Saccharomyces cerevisiae S288C: one gene and its partner. The gene in region 2 interacts genetically with the main gene of each other region. Each region holds a gene or a part of one and is shown on either strand. Other genes may lie near its edges.

Evidence for each region.
Region 1: of STM1 (region 2) and PAN2, extra expression of one rescues a mutant of the other (dosage rescue), as found in Saccharomyces cerevisiae (one study listed by BioGRID).

Annotation. Positions count from the first base shown.
Region 1 is NC_001139.9:332,465-336,224, reverse strand, and holds the start of PAN2 (poly(A)-specific ribonuclease), read left to right. Parts: upstream 1-1,759; coding exon 1,760-3,760. Other genes in the region: kinetochore-microtubule binding complex subunit SPC105, read right to left, coding at 1-1,339. UniProt on the Saccharomyces cerevisiae protein: Catalytic subunit of the poly(A)-nuclease (PAN) deadenylation complex, one of two cytoplasmic mRNA deadenylases involved in mRNA turnover. PAN specifically shortens poly(A) tails of RNA and the activity is stimulated by poly(A)-binding protein PAB1.
Region 2 is NC_001144.5:438,636-441,929, forward strand, and holds STM1 (Stm1p), read left to right. Parts: upstream 1-1,831; coding exon 1,832-2,653; downstream 2,654-3,294. Other genes in the region: GID11 (Gid11p), read right to left, coding at 1-1,188; PCD1 (8-oxo-dGTP diphosphatase), read right to left, coding at 3,080-3,294. UniProt on the Saccharomyces cerevisiae protein: Ribosome preservation factor that protect a small pool of nontranslating, vacant ribosomes in cells under nutrient starvation conditions.

The DNA of each region.
Region 1 (3,760 bases), on a different chromosome or scaffold from region 2:
TACCAGACTGCCCTTCCTTGTCTATTTCGGGGAGTCTTGTTTTCTCAACTATTTTGTTCCCGTTATCATCGACATTTTCCCCATCTTCTTCATCGTCTGTCGCGGTTTGCATGCCAGTATCCTCAGTACCGGGTTCAATAGTGAACACATCATTGGATCTCGTCCCAATCTTATTATCAACATCGCTAAATGTAATGGGTGACATTTTCTCCATCATCTCTAAATCACCATCATTGTCCTCTCCACTAGTATCCTTTGCCTCTTTGACTGGTGTCGTAACCGATGCAGCATAATCAGAGACAGTATCCAATTTGCGCCTCTTATTAGAAGAAAACGCATGCTTTTCGCTGGGAGATTCGTCAATGTGGTGATTGTCGCGGTCAAAGTTTGTCTGTATTTGCGTGAGTTCCATCTCATTACCATCATTATTGATGTTATTGTCGCTGTGTAGACTCATAGGGTTCTGTGGATCAGCATGGAATATATCTGTAATTTCCATCGGCTGAGAGGAATTCGTCTTATTTTCAGATTTTGAAAGGTCGCTTTTATCGTTACTTCTTTCCACGCTATAGTCAGAGGATTTCCCGGTACTGCGTGAGACACTGTTTGGAACGTAAGGTTTAGACTCATATTCTGTCAGATCTATTGGTTCGCCCTCTACTGTATCTTTTGAAATTGAATCATAGTCGTGTACATTATGTATGGCCGTCAATTCCATTGTTTCCTCTCGCACTGCCTCGACATCATCGATTTGTTGACTTGACTCAATGCTTTCTCCCTCTACATCTGGATTTTTCTGTCTGATACTCCGAGGAAAAACTTCAGTCATTTCCATTGATGTGGGATCATGCTGTGAAGCCTTGTTACTATCCGGTGTCGCCACTATAGGTTCTGTCAATTCCATCCCAGATGTATCGGGATCTTCTTCTGCCGCTGTTTTTTCTTCCGTACGAGCATCATCGATTTGAGTAGACGTTACAAGAGGCTCTTCTTGACTAGATATTTTAGTAGGGCTGTTGGTTGAAGTTTTTCTACGTCTTGGTTCCTTAATTTCATTGTTTTGTTCAGGTACGAAAGTAAAACTATGCAACGTAACATCGGGAGCGAATGAAACTCTTCTCTTTACCATACTCTGTAAATTAGAAGTATTGATCCTGGATGTCGTGTTACTACCATCTAATACTTCTTTTTTTGTTATAATCCTGGTAGGAATACGAACACCAGGGTTCTCTAGAAAGCTTGAAGTCATTTGCGAGCTTTGGTTCTGCTTAAGAATGCCTTTCCCGGGCCCCGCATCCTTCTCTCTACCCCCAATCCGGCTTCTTTCATCCACATTCATTGTCAGCCCACTTAGATATCACAAGGGACGTCGTAATCACGGTTACTAAGTACTTAATCACTGAGTGTAGTGTCTAATTAGCCTTTGTTTTGTTATGTGTTTATCTATTTGTATTAAAACGGGGCGGGTGGCGCCTTCTCTTTCGCGTATTGTTTTTTTCAATGAGAGAATAACGAAAAAGAAACATGCTTTTAACGTTAGCATATATAGGAAATAACGTACTATGTGGGCATAGAGGAACACAAGAAATAGAATCTCCAAGAGACACATCATTACCATATAATACACGTTCATTTTAACTAGAATTTTTACATTCTGAAAATTTTTTTATTTGCTTATTTTTTGTTTTGAACTGCATTACACCCTAAGAGATTACTAGAACACAATTGCTATACTGAGTTTCTGAATGGTGAATGTATTATGAATAATTGGCAACATTTCTTCAACAATCCAGTTGATCTTTCGGAACATTTGAAGAAGCCATACTTTCGCTTCGATAATAGGGATAAGGAAATTACAGCGATTAGCTTCGATGAGAAGGCAAACTTAATTTGGAGTGGAGACAGCTATGGTTGCATTTCGTCATATGATCCAACTTTTCAACTTTATACAAGATATAGGGGCCACATAGGTGGAAATTCCGTGAAGGATATTCTCAGTCATCGGGATGGTATTTTATCTATTAGTGAAGATTCCTTACACTTTGCTAATAGAAGAGGTGTTACTAAATTGAACCTCACTAGCATTGATATTGCTGCATTTAGCGAATTGAACACTATGTGCTATTCTCCTCATTCACTGAAAAACAATATCTACTGTGGTGGTGACAACACAAATTGGGGAATTGCGTCCATTGACTTGAACAGAGGTTGCTTAGATTCCCTCTTGAATTACTCATCTAAAGTGAAGTTAATGTGCTCTAATAATAAAGTTTTGTCTATCGGAAGACAAACAGGGACTGTGGATTTGCTAGATCCAACATCGAATCGTACTATCAAATCATTTAATGCACACTCTGCATCCATATCCGCTATGGATTTACGGGATAACACCTTGGTTACAGTAGGGAAGTCCAAAAGATTTTATAACTTATACGCTGACCCATTTGTGAATGTTTACGACTTGAGAACAATGCGTCAACTCCCTCCTGTTTCCTTTTCTAAAGGAACAACTATGGGATCTGGAGGCGCAGATTTTGTTCAATTACATCCTTTGCTTCCTACTGTTATGATCGTCGCCTCAAGTTCTGGTTCGTTTGATTTCATCGACCTTTCCAATCCAACTTTAAGAACACAATATGTTCATCCTTGCCAGTCGATTAAAAAGTTATGTTTGTCCCCCAATGGTGACGTATTGGGTATACTAGAAGCTGATAATCACCTAGATACATGGAGAAGATCATCAAACAACATGGGAATGTTTACCAATACCCCTGAAATGCTAGCATATCCTGATTATTTTAATGACATTACCTCTGACGGCCCAATATCTGTCGACGATGAAACATATCCATTGAGTTCTGTGGGGATGCCGTACTATCTTGATAAACTTTTGTCTGCATGGCCCCCTGTAGTGTTTAAAAGTGAAGGTACCATACCGCAATTAACAGGTAAGTCACCCTTACCATCGAGCGGCAAATTAAAAAGTAACCTTGCTGTGATCTCGAGCCAAAATGAGAAGTTGAGCACACAAGAATTTCCTTTGTTAAGATATGATCGCACCAAATACGGTATGAGAAATGCTATACCAGATTACGTTTGTCTAAGAGATATAAGGAAACAGATAACAAGCGGTTTAGAAACCAGCGATATACAGACATATACCTCAATCAACAAGTACGAAGTACCCCCTGCATACAGTAGACTTCCACTGACATCAGGTAGATTTGGTACTGATAATTTTGATTTTACGCCCTTTAATAACACTGAGTATTCAGGATTGGATCCAGATGTTGATAATCACTACACAAATGCTATCATACAATTGTATCGCTTTATTCCAGAAATGTTTAATTTCGTTGTTGGGTGTTTGAAAGACGAGAATTTTGAAACAACGTTGCTAACTGATCTAGGCTACCTCTTTGACATGATGGAAAGATCACATGGAAAAATATGTAGTTCTTCCAATTTTCAGGCGTCATTGAAATCCTTAACTGATAAAAGACAATTAGAAAACGGTGAACCACAAGAACATTTAGAAGAGTATTTAGAATCGCTGTGCATAAGGGAAAGTATCGAGGATTTTAATTCTTCTGAAAGTATTAAACGCAATATGCCTCAAAAATTTAACAGATTCCTGCTCTCGCAACTTATTAAAGAGGAAGCGCAGACAGTCAACCATAATATCACCCTAAATCAATGCTTTGGTTTGGAAACGGAAATACGAACAGAGTGTAGCTGTGATCACTACGACACTACCGTC
Region 2 (3,294 bases):
GACTCTAAATGCACCGTTGTGGGAATGTGGTCTAGTCGAACTAATTTCTGCCATGGGAGTAGCCATGTTTCTGATATCATAAATTGCGCAAGTACCATTTTGAAATACCGTCGCAAATTGCAAGTCGTTTTCGGAAAAAGAGTTATAAAACCCATGGTCTGAATTTGGAGCTTCATATATGTTTTCGATATATTCTGATTCATCAGGTAACGCAAACCGTGGTATCCGTCTAACACGATTGACAGAACTACCCCAGGAAGGATGATTATCGTAATGTAAGGAGAATTGGTTGGTTAATTCATTTTGATTGTAAACAGCAAATTTATTAGAATCGCCAGACACTACCATCGTTTGACCATCATGTGACAAAGAAGCGTTATTCAAAGGAAATTTTAAATCCGCATAACGCTTCACTAGTGTTACATCTCTATTACTTACATCGCATTGGTAAAGATGACCATCATTGTTGCATGCAAAAAGATCAAACTGCATACTGGCCCTGTCATAAAGTGTGACACAATTATTGATGAACTGGCCCAACGTAAAAGTCATCATTGTGTCCGTTTCTTGATTATAAAACTCCACGATGCCCTTCCAGATATTAGGATTTGAATAATGTGAATTTATAGGGAAACTAATATTTTTGGAAATATTAATCGGTTGGGAAGGTGGCGGCAACGAAATATTTGCATCTTGAGCTAAACGGTTCCAATTAGAAGGGAATCCCTTATCATCAGAACCGATTAGACCACCACAAACAGTCAACCCATTTAATTCCGTGAAACATCTCGGCTTAAAGTTGAACTCTACCAGTTTCTCGGAAGGAACATGTAAATTTTTGGAGATATACGAGCCCGTTGTCCTAGAACCTTTTGTAGACGTTTTTTCAGTAGAGTTTTTACCACTGTTACTCGGTTGAATAGAATTATGTCGCCTTACTGGAGACCTCAATACGGAAGAATCCGTATCTAGTACTCTTATCGAATGATCGTAAATATAATACAGTTTACTCTGGTTCATGGAGCCTGGTTTGATACAATCCCGCAACTGCCAATGGTTTATGGAGACCTTGGCATCGTAGAGTTCTAAAGCAGGCATCATATAGTTTTGGTAAACCTTATCAGAGCCAGTATTTAACCGTTCATCTTGCAGCGCCTCCTTAGATTGCCCCGTGCCATCAATGGTCATTCTTTAACACGTATACTTTTGTAACTTATTGCTGTTTTTCTACCACTTTATTCGATCTTACTTGTCGTTGCTTAATCAGCAAAAGTTTTGTACTAGAATAAAGTTGTAATAGGCTTTTAATCCAGAGTCTCCTCCTCCTCACTTTCTGATCATCACCCCTTATTGCCTCAGAAAAGAGATCATACTCCGCTTTAAAGCCGTTCAATGTCACGTGACACAAAGTTGTAGCCGTATAACATATGGCGCTACCATGTTGTTATTTAGACGGGTAACATCACCGTTTAGAAAGATAAAGGAAAGTGAAATTATTGGAATGGAAAGTGTTCCCAAAAGTTCGCACCAACGCAAAAAGAAATTTTTTTTTCAATTTTGATATCATCGTTGCGTAGAGGAAGCCCTAACTGAGTAGAGAAATTATATGGTATTTTCCTTGTAATATTTGATTTTGAGTCGATATCCCCTTTGTTCTTCTTCCTTCCTTCGCTTGTTTTAGTTGTATACTTGGTTTATTGTGGAAGATTTTTTTTTCTGCTTCGTAGTTTTAAATTAGAAGTTATTTCTTTGCAAATTTCTCTTCCCCCCACAGTATTCTTTTAGAGGTGAAGTAGAAATAAACCAAGAAAGCATACACATTTTATTCTCAATGTCCAACCCATTTGATTTGTTAGGTAACGACGTCGAAGACGCTGACGTTGTCGTTTTGCCACCAAAGGAAATCGTCAAGAGCAACACTTCCTCCAAGAAGGCTGACGTCCCACCTCCATCCGCTGACCCATCCAAGGCTAGAAAGAACAGACCAAGACCTTCTGGTAACGAGGGTGCTATCAGAGACAAGACCGCTGGTAGAAGAAACAACAGATCAAAGGATGTCACTGACTCTGCCACCACCAAGAAGTCCAACACCAGAAGGGCCACTGACCGCCACTCTAGAACTGGTAAGACTGACACCAAGAAGAAGGTTAACCAAGGTTGGGGTGATGACAAGAAGGAATTGAGTGCTGAAAAGGAAGCTCAAGCCGATGCTGCTGCTGAAATTGCTGAAGACGCTGCAGAAGCTGAAGACGCTGGTAAGCCAAAGACCGCTCAATTGTCTTTGCAAGACTACTTGAACCAACAAGCTAACAACCAGTTCAACAAGGTCCCAGAAGCTAAGAAGGTTGAATTAGACGCTGAAAGAATTGAAACTGCTGAAAAGGAAGCTTACGTTCCAGCAACCAAGGTCAAGAACGTCAAATCTAAGCAATTGAAGACCAAGGAGTACTTGGAATTTGATGCCACTTTTGTTGAATCTAACACTAGAAAGAACTTCGGTGACAGAAACAACAACAGCAGAAACAACTTCAACAACCGTCGTGGTGGTAGAGGCGCTAGAAAGGGTAACAACACTGCTAACGCTACTAACTCTGCTAACACCGTTCAAAAGAACCGTAACATTGACGTTTCTAACTTGCCATCTTTGGCTTAAGCCTTATATATGAATAATTCCAACTGAAAGAATCCAATAACAGTGTTCTACTTTCTGTTTCTATTACTATTATTATTTTAATTGGTTATTTACTATATAATTTGCAAGTGAAGATGATCATGCTGGCAAACCAAAGAATAAAATTGGGTTGACATCCAATCGAGAATATGACATATCATTTTGTTTTATTTAAGCAATAAAAAATAAATGACTTTTAATTTACTTTTCAATTTTCTTTTTTTTTTTTTCACTTCTGAGATGTGCAAGCGTGTAGTTTGTTTGTATTTGTATAACAATTTCATCATTAGTCATTCTTCATTAAAAACTTTTTGTTATCGATTAAGGACATCCAGTATGATTCTTTTTCTCTCATCTTGATTATCTCTTGAGAGTATTGTTAGGCAACGCATTATACCACAGTTTTTTTTACCAAAGCGAGCGGCACTCCAGCAGGTGCTTCATGTAGTATTCAGGTATCACATCGCTATATTTTAAGTTTCTGTCGCCGTTGATCATTCCTATCTCCCATTCACTTCTTCCGTTCGGTTGCATCTGATTACCATAGTCATGTAGTCCAACTATCAAATCTTCGTGCCCTAGTTCTCCTTTTAACTTTTCGTCCATTAGTCCATTAGCTATAC